Mus musculus: one gene and its partners. The protein of the gene in region 1 purifies or fractionates together with the protein of each later gene. This does not show direct contact. Links are inferred from orthologs where the notes say so. Each region holds a gene or a part of one and is shown in the gene's direction. Other genes may lie near its edges.

The links.
Region 2: the proteins of Cdc37 (region 1) and Ikbkb purify together in Homo sapiens (affinity purification with mass spectrometry; 8 studies listed by BioGRID and IntAct, with this or other methods). This does not show direct contact. The link is inferred for Mus musculus from reciprocal best matches to the Homo sapiens genes CDC37 and IKBKB.
Region 3: the proteins of Cdc37 (region 1) and Chuk purify together in Homo sapiens (affinity purification with mass spectrometry; 7 studies listed by BioGRID and IntAct, with this or other methods). This does not show direct contact. The link is inferred for Mus musculus from reciprocal best matches to the Homo sapiens genes CDC37 and CHUK.
Region 4: the proteins of Cdc37 (region 1) and Akt1 purify together in Homo sapiens (affinity purification with western blotting; 5 studies listed by BioGRID and IntAct, with this or other methods). This does not show direct contact. The link is inferred for Mus musculus from reciprocal best matches to the Homo sapiens genes CDC37 and AKT1.
Region 5: the proteins of Cdc37 (region 1) and Ikbkg purify together in Homo sapiens (affinity purification with mass spectrometry; 7 studies listed by BioGRID and IntAct, with this or other methods). This does not show direct contact. The link is inferred for Mus musculus from reciprocal best matches to the Homo sapiens genes CDC37 and IKBKG.
Region 6: the proteins of Cdc37 (region 1) and Hck purify together in Homo sapiens (affinity purification with mass spectrometry; 3 studies listed by BioGRID and IntAct, with this or other methods). This does not show direct contact. The link is inferred for Mus musculus from reciprocal best matches to the Homo sapiens genes CDC37 and HCK.
Region 7: the proteins of Cdc37 (region 1) and Rps6ka4 purify together in Homo sapiens (affinity purification with mass spectrometry; 3 studies listed by BioGRID and IntAct, with this or other methods). This does not show direct contact. The link is inferred for Mus musculus from reciprocal best matches to the Homo sapiens genes CDC37 and RPS6KA4.

The regions. Positions count from the first base shown.
Region 1 is NC_000075.6:21,139,935-21,143,434, reverse strand, and holds part of Cdc37 (hsp90 co-chaperone Cdc37), read left to right. Parts: intron 1-209; coding exon 210-488; intron 489-757; coding exon 758-1,013; intron 1,014-1,106; coding exon 1,107-1,222; intron 1,223-1,301; coding exon 1,302-1,424; intron 1,425-2,299; coding exon 2,300-2,482; intron 2,483-2,605; coding exon 2,606-2,677; intron 2,678-3,471; coding exon 3,472-3,500. UniProt on the Homo sapiens protein: Co-chaperone that binds to numerous kinases and promotes their interaction with the Hsp90 complex, resulting in stabilization and promotion of their activity. Inhibits HSP90AA1 ATPase activity.
Region 2 is NC_000074.6:22,672,084-22,675,583, reverse strand, and holds part of Ikbkb (inhibitor of nuclear factor kappa-B kinase subunit beta), read left to right. Parts: intron 1-513; coding exon 514-621; intron 622-2,091; coding exon 2,092-2,221; intron 2,222-3,066; coding exon 3,067-3,261; intron 3,262-3,500.
Region 3 is NC_000085.6:44,104,678-44,108,908, reverse strand, and holds the start of Chuk (inhibitor of nuclear factor kappa-B kinase subunit alpha), read left to right. Parts: upstream 1-1,431; 5' UTR 1,432-1,516; coding exon 1,517-1,621; intron 1,622-4,231.
Region 4 is NC_000078.6:112,657,277-112,660,776, reverse strand, and holds part of Akt1 (RAC-alpha serine/threonine-protein kinase), read left to right. Parts: intron 1-1,115; coding exon 1,116-1,227; intron 1,228-1,425; exon of another isoform or gene 1,426-1,500; coding exon 1,501-1,648; intron 1,649-2,099; coding exon 2,100-2,231; intron 2,232-2,313; coding exon 2,314-2,379; intron 2,380-3,041; coding exon 3,042-3,110; intron 3,111-3,383; coding exon 3,384-3,500. UniProt on the Homo sapiens protein: AKT1 is one of 3 closely related serine/threonine-protein kinases (AKT1, AKT2 and AKT3) called the AKT kinase, and which regulate many processes including metabolism, proliferation, cell survival, growth and angiogenesis.
Region 5 is NC_000086.7:74,443,181-74,446,680, forward strand, and holds part of Ikbkg (NF-kappa-B essential modulator), read left to right. Parts: intron 1-164; coding exon 165-308; intron 309-591; coding exon 592-734; intron 735-3,500. UniProt on the Homo sapiens protein: Regulatory subunit of the IKK core complex which phosphorylates inhibitors of NF-kappa-B thus leading to the dissociation of the inhibitor/NF-kappa-B complex and ultimately the degradation of the inhibitor.
Region 6 is NC_000068.7:153,135,968-153,139,467, forward strand, and holds part of Hck (tyrosine-protein kinase HCK), read left to right. Parts: intron 1-730; coding exon 731-910; intron 911-2,294; coding exon 2,295-2,371; intron 2,372-3,500. UniProt on the Homo sapiens protein: Non-receptor tyrosine-protein kinase found in hematopoietic cells that transmits signals from cell surface receptors and plays an important role in the regulation of innate immune responses, including neutrophil, monocyte, macrophage and mast cell functions, phagocytosis, cell survival and proliferation, cell adhesion and migration.
Region 7 is NC_000085.6:6,834,128-6,837,627, reverse strand, and holds part of Rps6ka4 (ribosomal protein S6 kinase alpha-4), read left to right. Parts: coding exon 1-48; intron 49-150; coding exon 151-301; intron 302-2,362; coding exon 2,363-2,527; intron 2,528-3,500. UniProt on the Homo sapiens protein: Serine/threonine-protein kinase that is required for the mitogen or stress-induced phosphorylation of the transcription factors CREB1 and ATF1 and for the regulation of the transcription factor RELA, and that contributes to gene activation by histone phosphorylation and functions in the regulation of inflammatory genes.

The DNA.
Region 1 (3,500 bases):
GTTACATAGAGACGGTTTCATTAGTTAAACCTAGTCTTCAAAAAAAACATAGACATGTGGCAGCAGGGCACCAGCGGATGGGTAGCACGTGGCTGTGTGCTCTGTAGTCAGGGCCCAGGGTGCGTCCCTGACCCAGGCCTGTCTGGTCCCCTGTGGTAGCAGGGTAGGAGTTCTTTCTATGACTGGCTGCTGATTGTCCCTGCCTGCAGGCCCGGGTGGAACGCATGGAGCAGTTTCAGAAGGAGAAAGAGGAACTGGACCGGGGCTGCCGGGAGTGCAAGCGCAAGGTAGCCGAGTGCCAGCGCAAGCTGAAGGAGCTGGAAGTGGCTGAGAGCGATGGCCAGGTGGAGCTTGAGCGGCTGAGAGCTGAGGCACAGCAACTGCGCAAGGAGGAGCGGAGCTGGGAGCAGAAGCTGGAAGACATGCGCAAAAAGGAGAAGAACATGCCCTGGAATGTGGACACGCTCAGCAAAGATGGCTTTAGCAAGGTGGGACACTGGCAAGAGTGCTATGGAGTGCGGTCAGGCTAGCTGGGGGTGGTTCGGTGGTGGAGGCTAGACATGCCTGTAAAGACCCCAGGTCCACCCCTGTGTCCCCATCCCAGTAAACTAGAAAAAGAATTCTGACAATGAGAGCCAGGCAAAGCCACCGGGTGGGGTGCGAGGACAGGGGAGGGACAGACAGACAGACAGTTTGAGCTTGGGATTGGCTAGTGGAGGCCAACGAAGCCCATCCATACCCTCTGATCTGCCCGAAGGCCCGCGGCCATGCCTCCGCCACCTTGATGCACTTAGCGACGCCACCGCCTCCGATGTGGACAGGATGGGCGCGGCGGCCACGGCCCCCAAACCCCAGGCGCACCCCTGCCTTGCCCCAGCCCACTTGCCCTCTCACCCTGTCACAGAGCATGGTCAATACCAAGCCTGAGAAGGCAGAGGAGGACTCAGAGGAGGCAAGGGAGCAGAAACACAAGACCTTCGTTGAAAAATATGAGAAACAGATCAAGCATTTCGGTAAGTTCCTGCACAAAGGCTAGGTTAGGAGTCAAGGCCAGCAAAAGGCTTCCAATGGCCTCTGCGACATCTTCCTAACATCCTCTCCTGCAGGCATGCTCCACCGCTGGGATGACAGCCAGAAATACCTGTCGGACAACGTCCACCTGGTGTGTGAGGAAACGGCCAACTACCTGGTTATCTGGTGCATTGACCTGGAGGTAGAGGAGGTAAGTGTGCCCTTCCCAGCTGCGGGGACTCCCAGACACTGCGCCTGCTCACGCCCCGCCCACCTCTTTGTCCTGGCAGAAATGTGCACTGATGGAGCAGGTAGCTCACCAGACCATGGTGATGCAGTTTATTCTGGAGCTGGCCAAGAGTCTGAAGGTCGACCCCCGAGCCTGCTTCCGGCAGTTTTTCACCAAGATCAAGGTAATGAGCTCCTGTGTACCACCAGGAAATCCACAGTGCAGTGCGCGATGTCAGATATTTATTAGAGGGGCTTGAGGTGCCACGGGGATGGCCGTACATATGTATACTTGTGTGTGTGTGTATACATACATACATACATACATACATACATATATATATGTATGTATGTATATGAAACGTGTGTGGATGTGGATGTGGACCCATATGATTAAGAGATAACTTTGTGTGGTTGGTTCTCCACCTTTCTGTGGGTCCCTGTGGTAAAACAAGCTGTTAGGCTTACATGGCAAAGCACTTTCACCTACTGAACACCTAGCTGACCCTATTTGAGGATTTCTTTCTATTCATTTACTTTAAATATTAAATAATTTATATGTAATGTAAATATATTGCATAAACATTATATAAGTAAATATTAATTTTTTTTGTTGCTGTGTGTGTGCCTGAGTGAGTTTATGTGCATCATTCGCATGCAAGTGTCTTCAGAGGCTAGAAGAGGGCGTTGGGTCCCTGGAGGTGGAGTTGCTAGGGTTTGCAAGCTGTCATGTGGGTAATGGGTACCAAACTTGGTTCCTCTGAAAGACTGGGGAACCTGAGAGCAGGGCAGGGTAGAACAATCCAGAACTGAGGTTTCTGTAAGACCTTGCTGGAGGACACCTGAAGATGTGATACCAAGCTGGTGCTGTTGAGCCGAGCCAGGCGGCTGGCCATTAGCAGGTGGTCTCACAAGCTAGTAGGATGGGCGCTGAATGCAGGAGACAAAGGCCAAATCTTGAGGTAGCCATGGTGGAGTTCAGGAAAAGCTTCAGGGAGCCTTCACCTCCCTAAACATCTGGTTATGAATTGCAGTGAGCAGTACCCACCCTCTTCCACAGACCGCTGACCACCAGTACATGGAGGGCTTCAAGTATGAACTGGAAGCCTTTAAGGAGCGAGTGCGGGGCCGCGCCAAGCTGCGAATAGAGAAGGCCATGAAGGAATATGAAGAGGAGGAGCGCAAGAAGAGGCTAGGCCCTGGTGGCCTGGACCCCGTGGAGGTCTACGAATCCCTGCCTGAGGTGTGACTCCCCAGGGCCCAGGAGGGAGGAGGGTGATGTATACCCATTGCTGCTCCCTGCCCCCGCCCCTCTGCTCCCACCCATCCCAAGCCCAGGCCCTCACCCTGGCCCCTCTGTACTCAGGAGCTGCAGAAGTGCTTTGATGTGAAGGATGTACAGATGCTGCAAGACGCCATCAGCAAAATGGATCCCACTGTGAGTCCCTAGTCCCTGTGGCAGATGGCAGATGGCCAGGGGGTGCAACCCTGTCATCCAAGAGCAGGGTTGTGAGTCCAAGGCCAGGCTTAGTTAAGATGAGCCAGAGCAATTCAGTGAGACCCTGTCTGAGAACGACACCCTTCTGCACACACGCACGCAGTACAATACCAGTATACTTTAAAAAAATCTTTTAATTCCTTGCCCCACCACCACCACCTTTTTTCTCTGAGATAGGATCTCACTGTGTAGACCAGGCTAGCTTCAGACTCACACAGATAGACCTGCCTCTGTTCCCAGGCTAGCTCCAGACTCACAGATAGAGCTGCTCTGTCCCCTGCGTGCTCAGGTTACCTCGCTGGTTACTTAAGTGCTGGATTGTAATCTCTGGTCCTCATGATTTGGAGGAAAGTACTCTTAACTGCTGAGCATAGCTGTCACCACTCCCTTTTGTCTGTGTGTTTGTTTTTTGAGACAGGGTCTCATGTAGCCCAAGCTGACCTCAAATGTGCTACATAACTGATGACCTTTGCTCCTGACCCTCCTGCTGCCACTTCCTAATTGGTGGGATCACAAGTGTGTACCACCATATCTGCTTGTCTGTGGTGCTGGAATGGTAGAGTCTCAGAACACTGGGCAATTGCTGCACCCGCTGAGTCACATGCTAGCTTCTGCAGTTCTATATTACCAGTCCTGGGTGGAGTGGGTGCTGAGCAGCCTTGAAGGAGGTGCAGGGGACACTGGGCATCATGCTGCTGGCATGGCCTCATCTGCTGTCCTCCCTCTCTCCACAGGATGCCAAGTATCACATGCAGCGTTGCAT
Region 2 (3,500 bases), on another chromosome or scaffold:
GACCTCGGTTTGGTTCCTAGCACCTGCATCAGGCAGGCAGCCCACAGGAGACATATATCCTTCTACACACACCTAAGTGCAATTGAAAATGACTGTTTTCAAATGGAAGTTGGTCCCTGACAACTGAGGTGCAGAGGAAATTAGAGACATGGCCAAGAGCACTTGGTCGCCCATGCAGCACTACTCAGACTTAGGTTGTCTCTATTCAGTCCTCCACACAGAGGTCAACGGTGCCTCCTGGAGACTTAGGACGAGAGGCCTCCTGCTGGACTCAGTGCACTGAGCTAAGCCCCTAAACACAGTGCCGACCACTCACAAACACTCCTGCTGAACTCAATGCTTAGAGCTAAGCCCCTAACCACAGTGCCGACCACTCACAAACACTCAGAGAAGCATCCTAGCAGCATGCTGCCCACCGTTTTCCAAAAGAATAGTCGTGAAGTGACATTACACGTGTAAACCGGGTACTTGCCACTGAGTGACATAAAGGACATCTTAAAATGACACCTACAGGCACTCCAAAGTCCGGCAGAAGAGCGAAGTGGACATCGTTGTTAGTGAAGACTTGAATGGAGCAGTGAAGTTTTCAAGTTCGCTACCCTTCCCCAATAATCTTAACAGGTAAGGCCGTGGGGCATCAGTCTTATAGATCTTCTTCGCCTCTGTTTAGAGCTACAGGTTTGAGATAACAGCTGACTCTTTTTTACTTTAATTTTATACGTTTGAGTGACTGGTGCCTGTGGAAGCCAGAGGAATAGTCAGATCTCTGGAACTGGAGTTAGAGATGACTGTGAACTGCCGTGTGGGTGTTGGGAACCAACCCTAGCTCTTAAGCACTGAGCCATCTCCAGGCCCATGCATAACTTTTGAATAGATATCAGAACACCATCCTGTGATTGAGAATTTGGACCAGTCTATCTCAACATTAGACATAGGATGGGTTTCCATATCTCATCTTCCTAGGAGTCTTTTTAAAAATTGTTTATTTGTTTGTTTGATTGGTTGGTTGGTTGCTAGCTTGCTTGCTTGCTTGCTTGGGTAGGTAGTTGGTCAGGTGGATGAGTGGGCGGGTGGGTGGTTAGGTGGGTGGTTGATTGGGTAGTTGGTTGATTGGTTGGTTTTTTTCTATGGTGGAGATGAAGTCCCTGGCTTTGGTTTTGATTGGTGGCTTTTTTGTTTTGTTTTTTTGTTTTGTTTTCTTTGGTTTGGATTTGATTTTTTGAGACAAAGTTTCTCTGTGTAGCCCTGAATGGCCTGGAATTCACTCTGTAGACCAGGATACCCTGGAACTTGGGGAGGCACTGGGGAGGCAGAGGCAGGTGGATCTCTGTGAGTTCGAGGCCAGCCTAGTCTACAGAGTGAATTCCAGGACAGCCAGCAGCTGGGATCCCTTTGTGCCCAAGAAATGTTTATAATACCCCAGATATGTAGATACATAAAGTATATAAGTCAAGCATCTACTGATAATAAATCATATATTTTAAAAGAATCATTTGGTTTAATCATACTGTTTAAAGGCAAATATTAAATTTTATTAAAGACAAATATTAAGTTAAAATATTCATATATTAAACTTACATACTAATGAGATTAATGAAATGTATGTGATTCGTTTACACAAAGAAATCTTGGCCTAATTTTTTCATATTTTCTTCATATGTGTGTTTACACATATGTACACACAGAGACATGGTGCTGATCAGGAAACCACGGAACCAGGCAAGCACCCCACCCAGCTCTCACAAGCCTTATCAAAGTGTCAGGGTCACTTTCAGTGTGTGCAGGTGTATGTGTGCTATGGAAGACAACCTTGGCTCTCTTCCGTCGCTCCACACCTTCTCCTTTTCAAGGCAGAGTCTCTCTCTCAGGTCTGGAATTCAGCAAGTAGGCTGAGCTGGCTGACCCCTCAAGGATCCACTCATCTGATAGAAGCATTTCTTATGTGGACTCTGGGATGGAACTTAGGTTCTCATGTGTGCACAGCAAGCACCTCACTCGAGCTGAGCTATCAGCCAAGGAAGGCTGTGTGTGCTTCGGGATTTGCACACTGCGGCAGGCCGGCTCAGGCCTCTCTTCCCTTTGCTCCCTTAGTGTCTTGGCTGAACGGCTGGAGAAGTGGCTGCAGCTGATGCTTATGTGGCACCCTCGGCAAAGGGGCACGGATCCCCAGTATGGCCCCAACGGCTGCTTCAGAGCCCTGGATGACATCTTGAACTTGAAGGTTAGAGCAGAGCCCAAGCAGCCCCGAGGCAGCAGCTGTGGTCCCCAGTGGAGCACAGCAGTCTTTCCAAGGAAGGGAGACATATCAGATCGTGGGCCACTTGGCCTTGTGAAGAAATTCAGGTTCCTCTGACTCTTTGGGCTAAAAAGAGGACAGGAAAATTGAGATGACTGACATGTTTTGACATCTTGCCGTTGAGGAAAAATGGGACTTAAACTAGCCCTTTACCAGCAAGTATGGGTTGGGGGTAGCAAAGGGTCTTGGCAAATCCATGAGCCTTTTGTAAAGAATTTTGATTTTTGGGATAGTGAGATAGCTCATCAGGTAAAAATACTTGTGGCCAAGCCTGACAATCTACCTAATGGAAAAGAGAACCAACTCTTTCCAACTGTCGTCTGATCTCCACACACGTGGTGTGGTGTGCGCACGTGCTCCCCCCTCCTAATATGCAAGTGTCTTAGTCAGGGTTTACTGCTGTGAACAGACACCATGACCAAGGCAACTCTTACAAGAACATTTAATTGGGGCTGGCTTACAGGTTCAGAGCTTCAGTTCATTATCATCAAGGCAGGAACATGGTAGTGTCCAGACAGGCATGGTGCAGGAGAAGCTGAGAGTTCTACATCTTCATCCAAAGGCAAACAGGAGAAGATTGGCTTCCTGGCTGCTAGGATGAGGGTGTTAAAGCCCACACCCACAGAGACACACCTACTCCATCAAGGCCACACCTCCAAATAGTGTCACTCTCTGGGCCAAGCATATTCAAACCACTACAGCATACAAACACACAATGTAAATAAATGTTAAGAAAATTTCTTCCCAGTAACATCTGGGTTGTGTTGCAGCTGGTTCATGTCTTGAACATGGTCACAGGCACCGTTCACACATACCCCGTGACGGAGGATGAGAGTCTGCAGAGCTTAAAAACCAGAATCCAGGAAGACACGGGGATCCTGGAGACAGACCAGGAGCTGCTGCAAGAGGCAGGGCTGGTGCTGCTCCCTGACAAGCCTGCTACTCAGTGCATCTCAGACAGCAAGGTGAGTCCTGACTTCTTCCTGCGCCCTGCTTGCCCTGTTTCCCTCAGATGTGGTCTCCTAGAACACTGTCAGCATTCCACATTACTACTCTCACTATGACAATTGTATACAGTGACACCGTGTACAAACTGCTTGATGGGTCAGGAGTCCCAGGTGGGTCGCTAAAAGACACCAATCATTCCATACTCAGTTTGTCACTTCCAGACCACGAATATTTTCTTGTGCTTCCATTGCCAAAA
Region 3 (4,231 bases), on another chromosome or scaffold:
TTTCACTTTGTTCTCATAAAAATCTCCTGACCTCCATTTTGTTTCTGAACAACAAAAAAACTAAAACAGTCTTGGAAACCTGAAGATTGTGGAGCCTGACAGGAACCATTTTACAGTTAAAAAAATTAAAAGGCCAGGTCTTTAATCTTAGCATTCTGCAGGCAGACCAGTGAGTTTTAAGGCCAGCCTGGTCTACATAATGAGTTCCAAGTCAAACAGGGCTATAGCAATAAACCTTGAGTTGCATTTTAATTATAGAATATTTAAAAAGCAAACTCACTGTAGAAACCAGTTTGAGTAATTTAGACAGAATTATCTTGGCTGGAGTTTTCAGCATCCCTCGAGTACAAATTATGAAACTGCATCCCACCTGTCACTCCTGGCTCTACCATACACAGCAAATGAGGTTTCATCCTGTTACATGACCGTCTCCTCTGCTCTAAAGATGCTCTCTCAGAGCCTCATTTCTATTACCTTCAAGTTTAATATTCCAATTCCATGAAAGATATGAAAATAATAGAAACCAGTTTATCGAATACCACTCACTATTAGTGACCCACAACATCGAATTGCATGCTGACGTTGAGAATTTGATTTTATGCTGACTCTTACACTTTTGAGTTATTAGCATCGCTAGCTTCAGCCCGGTACAAGCTTGTAATCCCAGTCTTGGAAAGACGGAGAAATACGTTCTAGTCCAGGCTGGACTGTATTGAGATCCTGTCTCAGAACAGGACACCTAGAGTCCATGAAGTGGATAACCCACTCAAATGGCTAGGTGGGTTGGCTTTCCCTGTGCAGCCCACCACTCAGAAGTATGCCTCTCTGGACCGAGAGCTCCTCCAGGCTTGTCTTTATAGCCCTGTGGTGCACCTCAGAAACAATTCCAACTCAAGTCGGAGAGAACAAGGCTGATAAACAGTAAGGTCGGTAGGGAGACTCACGAAGTCGCGAAGAAGAGTTTTCACTCTGGAATAAGTCACATCCTTGGTTGGTTTGGGATTATGGAGAGATTCTGATTTACAAGGCTAATGAATCAACAGGGCGGTTAGCGCAGTTTTCTTTAATACTTATGGTGGCCTTAACCGGTGCCGACCGGCGAGTGTGGTAGGATTCGAGGGGCAGAGGGCAGGGCTCTCAAAAAGATGAAATGTGAATGAGGTAGGGACAATGTGGATTTTAGAGTTTGGAGAGAGATCTATTTTAAATAAAAACACGTTGTATGAAACCTTCAAAGAACTAATTAAAAAATATCTATACAAACAAAAATAAAATAAATAGGAACCGCACGCACGATGGTCCTCGCAGGTTGGAAGTTGCCCAGGGCAAGCCGCTGGTGCCCAGTTTCCGGCAGCACCAATCCCAGGGTGATTCCAGGAGCTCGGGGCGGGACTCTGCATGCGGAAGCTAGCGGAAGTGACGCAGTCTCGCGAGACGGAGGACTCCGCAAGCCTCGGCGGCCCGGAACCGGCCTTAGACCGGCGGCGTTGCCTGAGGCGGCTGGCGCTCCCGCCCCATGGAGCGGCCCCCGGGGCTGCGGCCGGGCGCGGGCGGCCCCTGGGAGATGCGGGAACGGCTTGGCACCGGCGGTTTCGGGAACGTCAGTCTGTACCAGCACCGGGTGAGGCGGGGGGCGGGAGCCGTGGCGCGGGCTCTGTCTGGGCGTCCCTGGGACCCGAGCTGTCAGTCAAGGTGGGAGGAGTGGTGGTCGCGACCCTGGACGGGGCTGGGGGCTGGGGCAGTGAGCGAGGGCGAGCGATGGAGCATCCTGCGCTTGTGAGCCTGGGTGGCCGCGGTCCAGGTGTGTCGGAGGTCCCCGGGCAGTGAGTGACAGGCAGCTGTTGCAGCTGTGTGTGGTGATGAGGAGTCTGTACAAAGTCGAGTGCCGATGCGTGTTGTGTGTTTTGTGTATGTGTGTTGTGTGTGTCTCCGTGTGCCTGCTCACACTCCCTCGGGAGCGAGCGGTGTGATCCACTGGAGACTGGACTAGACGAGAAACCTTACGGGTGTGTCCAGAGTTGACCCTTGGGAAACATTGACAGACTTTGGAATTGGAGCGTTTCAGGTAAAAACCAGGGTGAGGGTAAGATGATGAAATCGATCCTTGCTTCGGAGGAAAGAAAATAGAGGGGTTTGTTCTGCAGAAGACAGCTAAGATCAGGCTCAGGAAATTTGTTTTGATTTATCGAAGAACATGTAACCGTTACAACAGCAGTTATTCCTGTCCTTAAAAGGTTTTCAAACTAACAGTCACTTTTCTTACTTTAACGTGTTGTTGTTAATGTTCGGGGTGGAACACAGGACCTTGCACATGCTAGGCAAATGGTCTACCGTTGGGTTACAGCCTCAGCCCTAGTTAATCATGTTTGAGTTGTGGGTCTTTTGAAAAGTCAGTAAAACGCATCTTTTCTCCGGAAAAAAAAATCATATCAATACAAGCCAGTGCATTATTAGTGAGGGTTTTGCTTTCCTGAAGGGTGTAAGGAATAGATCTTGAACACCAATCATTGTAGTATAGGATTTGTTGACTGTAAAATATTTAGAAGAATATACATACATTCTGGGCCTGCTTGAGAGTTGAGTCAGATGGTAACAGAGACGTTAGGAAGTACAAGATAGGTACTGTAATTCCGCTGATAGCTCTCCACTGTCAAGTTATGGCAACCCTCATTACTTGGACTTTTATAAAAGGAGCAGTAAGATAAAAATGGTGTTCTGGAACATCATATATGAGGAATACGTTTTAATTAGAAAAACAGTAAGCCAATTACAGGACATGAAATGATTTAGTTGATTGCTATATCAGGCGCTGATGGTACCCAAATCAACAAGAATAATATGTTCTACTCTGAAGGAGCTTTCCGTTTCAGAGAGGGGGTGGGCATGGTGGCATCCTCTTGTAATCCTAGTATCAAGGGTTCTGAGGCAGGAGGATTTGGAGTTTGAGACCTGACTGGGTGGCTTTCATATCGTGCTCAAGGCCGGTGTCAGTTACATAAGAAGGCCCTGTCTCAGAAATAAACATTAAGTACAGTTTGATACCCTAGGCACTGAAAGATGTCTTAGGGTTTTATTGCTGTGAAGAGATACCATGACCAAGGCAGCTTTTATAAAGCAAAACGTTTAGTTGGGGCTGGTTTCAGAGGTTTAGTCAGTTCTCACTTGGTGGGACATGGTGGCACGCAGGCAGACGAGGCACTGAAGAAGTAGCTGTGAATTCTATATCCTTGACCCAAAGACAGCAGGGAGAGGCTGTGTCTCACCGTGGGTGTACCTTGCGCTTAGGAGACCTTAAAGCTTGAGCCTACAGTGACACACTTCCTCCAACAGTACCTAGTGCTGCCACTCTCTATGGCCTACCATTGAATCACATGAGTCTATGGGGGTCATCACACCCAACTTAGTCTCATTTAAAAAACAACAACAGCAAAAGCCCATCTTTTTGTTGTTGTTTGGCAACTATAAAGTTCCCAAGAGAATATTCTTTTTGAAAAGATTGAGTTTCTCGGGGTAGGTGAGTGTTGTGGTAAATATTTAAAAAGACCCTCCACCTCTCCGAGTTCCATCCAGCTACTCTCTGCCCGCCAACTCTCCGGTGGGGCTGCAGCTCCTAAGTTCCCTTTGCTGCTATGCCAACCCAACACAGCAACAGTCCACTCCACTATCAGCCACCACAACATCCAGCAACCCAGTAGAAACAAAACTCTAGAAGTTTATAATTAACCAGTCAGGTTTATATATCAATAAATTCTCAATTCACAACATGCCAATACAATAATTTCAAAACCAGTTGATACTGATAAAAGCTGCCCACCTAGGCTAGACAGATTATCCCATAACTACCTGTGGCTATTTAAAACCACACGGGATCAGAATCTTCTTCCTGTCCCTCCACCTCCATTTTGGCTTTCCTCTCTTCCTGAGATACTCTCTGTTTCTGCAACTCTTAGCTCTGCCTCCCTTTACCCTGCCCAGTCACAGGCCCCTTGCTGCACTAATATTTTAATGTAATTGGACAGGGAAAATCCTGCCTCAGGTGAAATATAAACTAAGGAGTTGAAGGATCTCTTGTGATTAATGACCTATACCAAATAGATAATTTTCTGCCTCATTCATATCAGAATTTAGGGCTTATTGGCTTTGTTGTGATAACACTTTATATAGGATGTAACTATTATCAGATACCTGCCTGTTTATAACAAAAGTGAAAGGAGTGAGCCCAGTGCTAAAG
Region 4 (3,500 bases), on another chromosome or scaffold:
TGGCCACCAGGTGTTCATGCTCTGGGCATCCTTGTTCTGTGTGTGCTCCCAGTGTGAGGCTTGGGTGCTGAGTACATGTGTGACTTTTCCAGAGACTCTGTATGTTGTTGGGAAAACAGCAAGATACTTCTGTACCGGAAGGGGGTGTGGGCTGGATCCCTGAGGCCCCCACATGAGGTAGGGATCAGCAGTTGAAGGACAGAGGAACTTCAGGATAGTTATGGTGTAGGGCTAACTGATCTAGCCTGACTGGTTCCTTCACCTTCAGAGCAGAGCATCTCAGCTGTGGCAGGTCTTGGGTCTCAGTTCTTTGAGAGGAACTAGGGCAAGGAGAGGGGATGGAGCAGGGTGTGGTGGCTCATGCTGTATTCCTGGCACTCAGGAGGCTGAGGCATGATTACCTCAAGTTCAAGACCAGTGTAGACTACATAGTGAGTTCTAGGTCAGTCTGAATTACATAGGAAGAAAACAGAAATGCTAGCGGTGGTGGCTAGAACCTGTAAAATCAGCACTTGAGAGGCAGAGGCAGGAGGATCGCCATAGTTTGAGACTTCCAGTCTACGTGGAGTTTTCCAGAGCTGCACAGCAAAAGACCCTATATCAAACAAACAAAAAGCTTTAAAACTTTAAAACTTTTTACATTTTATTGTTTTGTGTGTAAAGAAGGGTGTTTGTTTATTTTATGTGTGGATCTGGTGCTCTTAGAGACAGGAAGAGGGCATCAGATCTCTGGAGTTACAGATGGTTGTGAGTTGCCATATGGGTGCTAGGAATTGAACCTCTAGTCTTCTGGAAGAGCAGTTGTACTTCTAATCAATGAGCCATCCATCGCTCCAGCCCCTGAAATCAATGTGTGTGTTTGCTTGCTTTTCGAGACAGGGTTTCTCTGTGTAGCCCTGGCTGTCCTGGAACTCACTCTGTAGACCAGGCTGGCCTCAAAGTCACAGAGATCCACCTGTGCTAGGATTAAAGGTGTTCACCACCACACCTGGCAAATACACTTTTAAAGTGAGGATGAGATTCACCTTCCTGGGACAGGGTTGAGGTCTGTCTGGTGAGGACTACGAGGGGGAGTTTCACGGAGAAACAGATAGATGCTTCCCCGACTTCTTTAGAATGCCAGCTGATGAAGACAGAGCGGCCAAGGCCCAACACCTTTATCATCCGCTGCCTGCAGTGGACCACAGTCATTGAGCGCACCTTCCATGTGGAAACGCCTGAGGAGCGGTGAGTGGGCAGGGTATGGTTGCTCGAGAGCCTGAGGCCTCTGCTGAGTCCATTCTGGAGAACTAGACTGGAGCACTTGTGGGATGAGTGGGGCATAATGGGAGAAATATCAGCATCCCAGGTACCTTGATGCTCCTGATACTCTTGAGTGTATGGAGGCCCAGGATCTGAGTGGTGGCCTGCAGCTTCAGGACCAGGGAGCCAGGCAGCTGGTTGGTGGAAGCCATGCAACAGCGCCCCCAGGTGCCTGAGGCCTCACTTGACCCGCTGCAGGGAAGAATGGGCCACCGCCATTCAGACTGTGGCAGATGGACTCAAGAGGCAGGAAGAAGAGACGATGGACTTCCGATCAGGCTCACCCAGTGACAACTCAGGGGCTGAAGAGATGGAGGTGTCCCTGGCCAAGCCCAAGCACCGTGTGGTGAGTCTGGGCTCTGCTTCTGCTGGGGCTGCCAGGGGTTGTGGAGGGACCTGGTAGGTCCTGGTATTCCTGCCTGGCTTCCTGTATGGGTCTGGGTACCCCTGGCTCCTCTGGACATGGGCTGAGGACACCTCAGTTGGCAGAGTGCTTGTCCAGCGTGCATGAGACATGAGACCCCAGTACTTAAAAGTAAGTAATATGAAGATGCCCGCTGACTCCCAAGGCCCAGCGCTCTGACTAGACTGTGCAGAGCCCTTCACTGACTGCACAGGCCAGCACATGTGAGAATGGGCCTGGCTTGTGGCCAGCTCTCTTGCTGTTGGCTAACTTGGAGGAAGCTTGCTCACTCTGGACACTGTCAAGCCGAAGGCGGTGGCATATGGTTTATTACCATAGGCTAGTTGTGGTGAGCAAAGGCTCTCTCTAACCGGGCTCTGTCTACTGCCCACAGACCATGAACGAGTTTGAGTACCTGAAGCTACTGGGCAAGGGCACCTTTGGGAAGGTGATTCTGGTGAAAGAGAAGGCCACAGGCCGCTACTATGCCATGAAGATCCTCAAGAAGGAGGTCATCGTCGCCAAGGTGCAGGGAGGGCAGGCTTGGAGGGAGGCTGAGAGGAGTGGGATGCAGGGGAGATAGGTGCTCACTTGGTTCTGCATTCCAGGATGAGGTTGCCCACACGCTTACTGAGAACCGTGTCCTGCAGAACTCTAGGCATCCCTTCCTTACGGTAAGCAGTGGCCATCAGTCTGGCCCCTGTGGGATAGGGAAGAGTGGGCCAGAGTGGGTCACTCCCACACTGTTGCCTTTGCACCCATACACGGACGGGCAAGGGCTTCATGGGCATCAGGTAGGCTGATGGAGGGCGGGGCTGCAGTCATGCCCCAGCTGTAGTGTGCAGGAGGCAGGAGTGAGACTCGTCTTCTCACTCTGCTGAGACCTTGAGTTGCCCCAGCTCTCCATCCCTGCAGTCCTCTCAGACCCGTCTTCTAGGCTGGTCCCTCAGGGTTGATTGTTAGTGAAGCTCAGTTACAGTAGCTTGATTGAGTTCCAGAGTCAGCATCTTGGGCTTATTCCACCCGTGGTCCATGATGGAAAGGTGCCGGGGTGGCTCAGTGCACCAGTTCATAAGCTGTTGTGTCAACCTCCCCATCTGGAGGCTCTTGGGAACCCCAGAACTTGGTATAGTTAACTTCTAAGCCATCTTGCCCTGCAGTTGAACCTAGACCTCGTGTCTCTCATCTTAAAATCTACCAGTTGGCATGTGGCCTGCATCTGTAGCCCCTGCTGAGTTCTAGGCCAGCCTGGGCTACGGTGATACCCAAGATGTGCCCTGATCCATCTTGGGGTGGCAGTGTCACTGTGCTTAGGCTTGCCCTGCTTCCATTCCAGGCCCTCAAGTACTCATTCCAGACCCACGACCGCCTCTGCTTTGTCATGGAGTATGCCAACGGGGGCGAGGTAGGGCCACAGGCAGCTTCAGACCTGGGCACTTGATGGGTGAACTTGTCCCTCTGAGAGCTTTGAACCCTCTCTGTAGTACAGATCACTGGTGCTGCCAGCCCTGGCCATGTGAGCCTGTAGCTGCTCGTTTGGGGATGTCTTATTTCTGCTGAGTTGGAGTCTCGCAGTCTCCAGTTCTCTTTGGGGGCTAGTTCCTAACCTTCCCTCTGCCTGTGGGTAAGGGTTGGCGGGCCCTCACACAGGCCTTCCTCAGCGCGCTCCACCCCACAGCTCTTCTTCCACCTGTCTCGAGAGCGTGTGTTCTCCGAGGACCGGGCCCGCTTCTATGGTGCGGAGATTGTGTCTGCCCTGGACTACTTGCACTCCGAGAAGAACGTGGTGTACCGG
Region 5 (3,500 bases), on another chromosome or scaffold:
GGATGCAGTATTCTCCCTGCACACATGGTCATTGGCTCCAAAATCCAAAGGACTGACTTTGTTCCAGCTTTTCCTACTTAGTCTCAAACAATGGCCAGCCAGGGAGGTAGCTTGGCCCCACTGTGGGCCAAAAGACTCTGACAGCACCCTTTGTCCTTCTCTAGGGCATGCAGCTGGAAGATCTGAGGCAACAGCTCCAGCAAGCTGAGGAGGCCCTGGTAGCCAAACAGGAATTGATTGATAAGCTGAAAGAGGAGGCTGAGCAGCACAAGATTGTGATGGAGACTGTGCCAGTCTTGAAGGCCCAGGTGAGGGCTCTGTTCCAGCCTGCCTACCACATGAATGACCTGCCCATCCAGGCAGTGGGGTTCTGTGTACCTTTTTACAGCATTTTGTAGTGGCTTCTCTATTCTTGAGCCCTTTGCATTCTTCCTTGACTTCTTGGTGCTCTTGGGATCATAGGCTTTCATATCTGTTTCTGATGTACTATTATAGGGTCCTAGGCCAGGGCTCTGTTCCTTTGGGCATGGCATAGAATGCTTGATGGGAAGCTGATGGATGGTGGGTGTTCACCTCTGTTCTATTTGCCAGGCGGATATCTACAAGGCTGACTTCCAAGCTGAGAGGCATGCCCGGGAGAAGCTGGTGGAGAAGAAGGAGTATTTGCAGGAGCAGCTGGAGCAGCTGCAGCGCGAGTTCAACAAGCTGAAAGTTGGCTGCCATGAGTCAGCCAGGTGGGCCTGTAAGAGTGCAGCCAGGAGCACAGCCATAGACAGAGAAGGTGTATACTAGGCAGCAACCAGTAGTAACTTCAGGAGATTGATGGCTCTTAGCATTGGTGTTAAGTTCTCTGTGCCTCCTACTGCTCCCTTGTGTTTGGCCTTCCAACAAAGACCTTTCCCATTGGTCCAGCTAGAAACTGAACAGAAATGCATGTATTGAGATGTATCTAAGGCCGGAGGTTTCATAGCTTTCATAGTGTTTTTTTTTTTTTCCATTTTTTATTAGGTATTTCGCTCATTTACATTTGCAATGCTATACCAAAAGTCCCCCATAGCCACCCACCCCCTCTCCCCTACCCACCCACTCCCCTTTTATGGCCCTGGCGTTCCCCTGTACTGGGGCATATAAAGTTTGCGTGTCCAATGGGCCTCTCTTTCGAGTGATGGCCGACTAGGCCATCTTTTGATGCATATGCAGCTAGAGTCAAGAGCTCCGGGGTACTGGTTAGTTCATAATGTTGTTCCACCTATAGGGTTGCAGATCCCTTTAGCTTCTTTGGTACTTTCTCTAGCTCCTTCATTGGGGGCCATGTGATCCATCCAATAGCCGACTGTGAGCATCCACTTCTATGTTTGCTAGGCCCAGGCATACTCTGACAAGAGACAGCTATATCAGGGTCCTTTCAGCATAATCTTGCTAGTGTATGCAATGGTGTCAGCATTTGGAAGCTGATTATGGGATGGATCCCTGGATATGCTAGTGTCTACATGGTCCATCCTTTTATCTCAGCTCCAAACTTTGTCTCTGTAACTCCTTCCAAGGGTGTTTTGTTCCCACTTCTAAGGAGGGGCATAGTGTTCACACTTCAGTCTTCATTTTTCTTGAGTTTCATGTGTTTAGGAAATTGTATCTTATATCTTGGGTATCTTAGGTTTTGGGCTAATATCCACTTATCAGTGAGTACATATTGTGTGAGTTCCTTTGTGAATGTGTTACCTCACTCAGGATGATGCCCTCCAGGTCCATCCATTTGGCTAGGAATTTCATAAATTCATTCTTTTTAATAGCTGAGTAGTACTCCATTGTGTAGATGTACCACATTTTCTGTATCCATTCCTCTGTTGAGGGGCATCTGGGTTCCTTCCAGCTTCTGGCTATTATAAATAAGGCTGCTATGAACATAGTGGAGCATGTGTCCTTCTTACCAGTTGGGGCATCTTCTGGATATATGCCCAGGAGAGGTATTGCTGGATCCTCCGGTAGTACTATATCCAGTTTTCTGAGGAACCGCCAGACTGATTTCCAGAGTGGTTGTACAAGCCTGCAATCCCACCAACAATGGAGGAGTGTTCCTCTTTCTCCACATCCACGCCAGCATCTGCTGTCACCTGAATTTTTGATCTTAGCCATTCTGACTGGTGTGAGGTGGAATCTCAGGTTTGTTTTGATTTGCATTTCCCTGATGATTAAGGATGTTGAGCATTTTTTCAGGTGCTTCTCTGCCATTTGGTATTCCTCAGGTGAGAATTCTTTGTTCAGTTCTGAGCCCCATTTTTTAATGGGGTTATTTGATTTTCTGAAGTCCACCTTCTTGAGTTCTTTATATATGTTGGATATTAGTCCCCTATCTGATTTAGGATAGGTAAAGATCCTTTCCCAATCTGTTGGTGGTCTTTTTGTCTTATTGACGGTGTCTTTTGCCTTGCAGAAACTTTGGAGTTTCATTAGGTCCCATTTGTCAATTCTCGATCTTACAGAGCAAGCCATTGCTGTTCTGTTCAGGAATTTTTCCCCTGTACCCATATCTTCAAGGCTTTTCCCCACTTTCTCCTCTATAAGTTTCAGTGTCTCTGGTTTTATGTGAAGTTCCTTGATCCACTTAGATTTGACCTTAGTACAAGGAGATAAGTATGGATCGATTCGCATTCTTCTACATGATAACAACCAGTTGTGCCAGCACCAATTGTTGAAAATGCTGTCTTTCTTCCACTGGATGGTTTTAGCTCCCTTGTCGAAGATCAAGTGACCATAGGTGTGTGGGTTCATTTCTGGGTCTTCAATTCTATTCCATTGGTCTACTTGTCTGTCTCTATACCAGTACCATGCAGTTTTTATCACAATTGCCCTGTAGTAAAGCTTTAGGTCAGGCATGGTGATTCCACCAGAGGTTCTTTTATCCTTGAGAAGAGTTTTTGCTATCCTAGGTTTTTTGTTATTCCAGATGAATTTGCAAATTGCTCCTTCTAATTCGTTGAAGAATTGAGTTGGAATTTTGATGGGGATTGCATTGAATCTGTAGATTGCTCATAGTGTTTTAGTTTGGTTTCTGTTGCTGTGATAGAGACCATGACTTATAGCAACTGGGGAGGAAAGGGATTATTTTAGCTTATAATTTATAATCCATGACAGAGGCAGAGCAGGCACCTGGAGGCAGAACGTGAAGTATAGTCAAAAGGGGAATGCTGCTTTCTGGCTTGTCCAGCTTGCTTGCTTGCTTATACAACCTAGGCCCACCTGCCCAGGGGTGGCACCACCTACCATAGGTTGGGCCATCCCACAGCAATTATTAATTGAAGATATGCCTTACAAACTTGCCACAGCTTCTGCTCTCCATGGTGGTTGTCCCATGTTACTGGCATCCAATATGCTAGGGTTTCCACTGCAGCTGAGGGTGCACCTTCTCCTGACCTCTGAAATAGTGCCAAGCCCTTTCTTTAGCTGCTTTCCATGATGCCTTCATATTACTTGGTCCCCTCTCCTGTGTGCTGATCCTGAGG
Region 6 (3,500 bases), on another chromosome or scaffold:
CCAGCTATATATTGGGACAGGAGGACTCAAGTTCAAGGCCAACCTGAACAACTTAGTAAGACCCTGCTTCAAAATAAAACGTGAGAAGGGGGCTGGGATATAGCTCAGTGGTAGAGCATTTTCCTAGTATGAGACCCTGGTTCAGTCTCTAGTTTGAGCATGTGTTGGAGGTGACCTTGGTGGATGACAAGGACAGAAAAGTAGGTGTGATCAGGCCAAGCAGAGCCTATGGGGCATAATGAATCTGGTAATTGTTTCAAGGCAGCGTTAAGCTTACATGCTATGCAGGCTCATGTTGCAGTCTAACTGGTGGCTTAAGGGTTACTACCCAGGGATTAAACTCAGTATCCTGTATGCGTTAAGCAAGTTCTGTGCCATTGAGCACCAGTCTCAACTCTTGTCTTCTGAGTCATGGGCTGGCCCGGAGCCTCCAGTCCTCCTACTTCACTGTCTTGAGAGTGACAAGTGTCTAGAATGACAGGCATGTGCCCCAAGCCCAGACTGGAGGATTTTATAAGTCTTGCAAATAGCCCTTCAGTGAGAGTTTATCCCTTCCACTTAGTGGGTGAGGAAGACAGCCCAGAGAAGGTAGGTATTTCAGTTGTACTCAGCTAGGCAGGGAACCGGTGTCCAGGCCTCTCTCTCTGTCTTAAAGGCTTAAGATGGGCAGGGAGGGCTCCTCCAGGGCTGCTGGGTCCTAACCACCCTCCGTGCTCCATGCTTTCCCCAGCCACCTACAACAAGCACACCAAAGTGGCGGTGAAGACAATGAAGCCAGGGAGCATGTCCGTGGAGGCCTTCCTGGCTGAGGCCAACCTGATGAAGTCGCTGCAGCATGACAAACTGGTGAAGCTACACGCTGTGGTCTCTCAGGAGCCCATCTTTATTGTCACGGAGTTCATGGCCAAAGGTGCGTGGGCAGGGATAGAGTGTGGGCCAAGCTGACTCCTTTCAGTCTCCAAGATGGCCTTGGCGTGGCTCTTCTGGCACAGCCACCTCATAGAGCATCTACACTCCAGCCTCCTGGCTGGCAGAGTGCAATCCTGTGAAGGGAGCTCGGTGGAGAGGAGGGGCAGGGGCTGCAGAGCCTCTGGGCGACAGAGGAATCACATGGCTTCCTTGTGACTCGTACCTGGGAACCTCAGTGCTGGGCTGTAAAGAAGTCTTGCTCCAAGTTCTAAGGGACAAGAAGCCACATGGAGAAAGACCATAAAGGTGCCACTTCATCTTGAATGTTCCACCTGTGTCACCTCACTTCACAGTGTGGTTGGTCCTGCTATGACCAACCCACAGAATCATGACAATGTCCGTGTTGTCACTTCAGGCTACTTAGCTTTGGGCCACTGTATCCTGGGATTATTCAGCATATTTCAAGAATGTTTGAGAAAGGATTCCACTCTGTAGCCCAGGTTGTCCTGGCACTCATTATGTAGCCCAGGCTAGCCTCAATCTCGTAGCTGTCCTGCCTCAGCCTCTCAAGTGCTGGGATTACAGATGTGTGTCTCCACACCCGGCTTCTCAGAGTTAGTTAGTTAGTTAGTTAGTTAGTTTTAGAACAGCTGGTTTATAGTCATTTTCAGTCCCTGGTCATTTCTGGATAAACATCTCATACAACAACATCCAATGTGACTTGAAAACTCAAAGCTTTTTCTACTTTTCAAGTCTACTTTACAAATCTACAACCACCCAGCTTTCTAAAGCAAAGCCCTGGACACCCAGGTCCATGGGGCCGCATCAACCAAAGAGTTAGTAAGCAACTAAAAAGTCCTTTCAGAAAAATTCAAGCTCTAGCACTCAGACACTAGAAGCAGTAAGTAGATGTGTCTTTAACTAGCACTGCAGCTGGGCGGGGATAAATGCTGGGAGTCAAGACTAATCTACTAGCTAAAGTGGAAAAATAGCTGGAGCCTGGGAATCGGAGACCAGTCTGAACAATATAACAAGGCACTATCTCAAGAAGAAAGTCATACCTGGCTTGCCTTTAATCACAGAACTTGAGAGGCAGAGGCAGGCAGATCTCTTTGTGAGTTCAAGGCTGGCCAGGCTGGTCTACAAATCTACTTTCAGGACAGCCAGAATGACACAGAGAAGCTTTGTCTCAAAAAACGAACAAGAGAAAGGAGGAGGAGGAGGTGGTTAGCTGGAGATGTAACTCAGTGCTTGCCTAGCATGTGTGAGGCTCTGGGTTCAGTCCCTGTACTGCAAAGAGGAAAGATCTCTATTGCTATGAAAAACTGTTACTTATTTCTCACTAAGGAGCAGTAGTCCATGTTCCTTCTCACTCCCCTCTGCAGGAAGCCTGCTGGACTTTCTCAAGAGTGAAGAAGGCAGCAAGCAGCCACTGCCAAAACTCATTGACTTCTCAGCCCAGGTGAGTTGTGCCAGCGATAGTCAGGAGAGGTGACAGGAAAGGTGACGTCATTTGTGTTCTCTGTGTCTTTCATGTGAATACTCATGCTCCCCACACACAAGGACTAGTCACAGTACTCCAAGTACTCAAAGACTTCTGTATGCTAAAGTCCCTTATAGAAAATAGTATATTTACTGTAAATATACTATTTTCCCTAGGCACATTCCCCTGCATGCTACTTAAAGCATCTCTAGCTGGCCTATGGAATCTAACACAAATGCTATGTAAACAGTTATTATTTCGTATTGTATAAGAGATAATGACCACTTAAAGTCTATAGACAGCATTTGATTTAGAATATTCTTGCTGTGCGGTTGGTTGCGTGCAGATGCAGAACCCATGGATACAGACTGTTCTTCATATGAACCAACTCATACAGTGCTGACATCAAAACTACGGAATTTTTCATAACAGGTTAATTATTTTATTATATGGGTCTTTTGCCTGTCTATGAGTCTGTACTACATGAATGTCTGCTGCCCTCAGATGTCAGAGGAGGGTGCCAGATTCTCTAGAGCTATAGTTATAGGTGCTTGTGAGCCACCATGTGGGTGCTAGGACTGAATCCAGGACCTCTGGAAGAGCAGCCAGTGCTCTTAACCACTGAGCCATCTCTCCAGATTCTGGAATAATTTTGTTTGTTGATTTTTGGTGTGAGGAATGGAACCTGGGGCCTTGTACATGCCAAAGAAGGACTACATTTGAGCTACGTCACCATCCATGTAAGTCATCCATTCTTATGTAACAGATAAAGGCTTAGTAGCCTGAAATGATAACACTGAATATTTCCCATGATTCTCTGGACTGACTATAGCAGGCTAGATGGAGCACTCTATGCACTGAGGTGGCGTGAGGAGCATGTCCAAGGTGACGTTCATTCTTACAACTTCTCCCTGTGTAGCCTCTCAGCACTCAGTATTTCTTCACAGCCCAGTATCAGAGCTCCAAGTGGGACCTGTCCAAGGTGCAAGCAGTGGGTAAGCCTCTGTTTGCACTGACTTATCAATGCCCTATTGGCCAAAGTCAGTCACAGCAGCCAAGCCCAGAGTCCTGGCAGGCAAATGTAGGAAGGTAATTGTCATTCCGTCGT
Region 7 (3,500 bases), on another chromosome or scaffold:
ACCCTTCACACTGGAGGGAGAGAGGAACACTCAGGCTGAGGTGTCCCGGTGAGTTGTACAGGTCATGGAGGGTAGCTGAGGGCTATACGGCCTTCCTGGGCTGGGCTGGGAGGGGGCTTGCTGCCCCTGACACCCCACCCATCCTCCCAGACGGATCTTGAAGTGCTCCCCTCCCTTCCCTCTCCGGATTGGGCCTGTGGCACAGGACCTGCTACAGCGGCTGCTGTGCAAGGACCCTAAGAAGAGGTTGGGCGCAGGTCCCCAGGGTGCGCAGGAAGTCAAGAGTCACCCCTTCTTCCAGGTGAGGCTTTAATGTATGACCTCATAGGTCCTTCACCTCTGAAGGCCGGGCTGCAGCATGGGGAGCACAAATGTATTCCATCTTTTCCGATGTTACACACAATAAGAGGTCAAAGGGCAGAATGTGCAGACCCCACTGTCCTCAGGGCACTCACTGGGCAGCTCCCTGGGAATGCGTGAACTAGCACGGAGCCTTCACATGTGATCTCACTGAGTGGCCTTTCCTAGCTGTTGTCTTCTGTTTATATACAGTCATCAGATTTGGCATCTATCTGACATGCAGCAAGAGCATCCATCCATTTGTGGGTATCCCCTGTGGCCAGGCACAGGTCCCTCCTGCCTCCATGCTGGGATCCTAGCCTTGGAGGGTCTCCAGGGGTGCTCTCAGAGCAGAGTCTTCCTCTCCCGGGCCAGCATGGCCCCAGGTAGAGGCATGGGCAAGACTAGAACACAGAATGGAGCTGACCAGGGTCCACTTCCTTCAGTGAATTTCTGGAACACCCCCCTCCCCCATCTCAGACTGCTGGGAGAGTGCTCACCTGTCTATCATCCTGCAGAAGTCCCCAAGGTCTTTGAGGCTTGGCACTTGACATGGTGTCCTCTCCCTTCTGCCCTTTCTTTGGACAAAGATCTTTGGAGGCTACTGCACATACACACTTACCCGACATCGCACACATACAAACACACATGCATATATATGTGCACATACAATGGGGTAGTGGTGAGGAGAAGAAATCCAGACCAGGTTGTCTTTGAGAATCCAAGCTCATTCATTCATTCATTCATTCTGTCTGTCTGTCTGTCTGTCTGTCTCTCTGTTCTTCCATATTTAGATATGGCATCCATTTTTAGGGTTGCTTTGTGACTCCAAAGGGATGACTATGTAGCCTGCTTTCCAGGACGGAAGTGGGAGGAGGAAGGGCAGGGTTTGCAAGCTTCTCACCTTCCCTTCAAGGTGCTTTCCTAGGCTCCACCTGACAGTATTTCCTTGCAAGCTATTGGGCACAACCAGCTACAAAGAAGTGTCTGTAAGATGGTGCATCTTGGTTGTATTGGAATTATGATGCTAAAAAGACAGGAAAGCGGATGCTGGCAGAAGCTTAGTTAGTTCTGCCACCTTAGCTTAAACATATCAAAGAGCAGGTGCTCATTCCCAAAAGGGAGGACAACTTGTAGGGATGGGTTTTCTCCTTCCACTGTGTGACTGTGAGGCTTGGGGGTGAGTGCCCCCTTCCAGGGCGCTGTCTCACCTGCGTGTTTAGTCTCCTTGTCGTTAGGAGAATTCATTCTCCAGCCCAAGTGCCACATGGTAATTATACATAGGTTGCAGAATGGCGAAGGAAGCTTTAGAGAGGCTTCCCTGCTGAGGCTGTCCTGAAGTCTGAGCAGTTCAGGGCCAGGCTGAAGTGGGCTGAACGTCCCTGAAGAAGAAGCTATGGGGGCGCTTGGGTGACAGTCCTCTGCTGTGGCAATTTGCCTGGATGAGGTTGTCACCTGTGACCCAGTGACTAGTTAGCAGGGCAGCCACAGTTTGATCATAGGATCCTTCTTTTCACAGTCCCAGGGGAAGGACTTCCTTTAGATGTGATATGCTCAGTGTCTGATCTTTCTGACACCCACCAGGGTCTCAAACTCCCTATGTGTTTCTGACTCTCCTGACTCCACCCTCCCCAGTTTTAGGATGATAGGCATGCTCAGTTCATGCATTCTGAGGATCAGACCAGGATTCTGTGTGCATCTAGGGAGGCACACTCCCGCCTGAGCTTCGCCCTCCCTCAGGGCTTGCTACATTTCCAGGTGTCCTTATTTATTAGATACAAATGTTTATCAGCTTGTGCCTCTGGCTGTGCTGGCAGGTGGCAGTTGTTTGCTTGTATAAAGGAGATGTAACGGTCATTCTTTCTCAGCAGTTAGATTCAAAATGGAGTAGCACACGCCAAGGCTGTGTCATTATATTATAAAGTAGTCATTCAAGGTTAGGCACAGGCTGAAAGGTTCCGTTCCATACCACAGAGAAAGCAGAGTGGATCACCTTGTTCTCACCCTTAACCTCTGTTCCCAGGGTCTGGACTGGGTGGCTCTGGCTGCCAGAAAGATCCCAGCCCCATTCCGGCCCCAGATCCGCTCAGAGCTGGATGTGGGGAATTTTGCGGAGGAATTCACCCGGCTGGAGCCCGTCTACTCCCCTGCAGGCAGCCCTCCACCTGGGGACCCTCGGATCTTTCAGGTGAGTGGGAACCCACATGACCCCAGATGGCATAGATGCAGGACACTGTTACTTGCTTCAGTCCTGCTGGCAAGGTCACTCACTGCACAGACCCTGGGTTACTCTGAGGACACATCTCCCCAGACTGTTCCACTTCCCAGGGGTGCCTGATGTTATCAGTTATAGAAGTCACCATAGCTGTTTTTTATGGCTTTGTATTTCATACTAACATCTGCTCACTCTTTTCAAACTTTTATTCATTTATAATTGACTTACTCACTATGTACATAGGGATTTTGTCTGCTTGTATGTTTATGTACCATGAGTATGCCTGGTATTCAAGGAGGTCAGAAGAGGGTGTCAGATCCCTAGGGACTGCATTGCAGACAGTTGTGAGCTACCATGTTGGTACTGGGAACCAAACCCAGGTCCTCTGGAAGAGCAGAGCTCTTAACTGCTGAGCCATCTTTCCAGCCCCTGTTTCCCTTTATATACTAGGGATGAAACATCGGGCCTTGCTCTGCCACTGAGCCATGCCACTATCTCCTTTTTCATTTTGAGATATGGTCTTGATGAGTTGCCTAGGCTGGCCTTGAACTTGCTACCTTACTGCTTAGTCTCCTAAGTAGCTGAAGTCCAGGTCAGTGCCTCCAGGCCTGGATTTTCATTTCCTTTCCATTCCACCATTTCTGCGTTATCTAAAAATATTACTTTAGGGTCTAGAGAGATTGCTTAACAGTTAAGAGCACTGGCTGTGGGCTGGTGAGATGGCTCAGCGGGTAAGAGCACTGACTGTTCTTCCAAAGGTCCTGAGTTCAAATCCTAGCAACCATATGGTGGCTCACAACCACCAGTAATGAGATCTGACACCCTCTTCAGGTGTGTCTGAAGTCAGCTACAGTGTACTGTGTATAATAATAAATAAATCTAAAAAAAAAAAAAAGCACTGGCTGCTCTTGCAGGTGACAGGAGTTCAATTCCCAGCACCCACAAC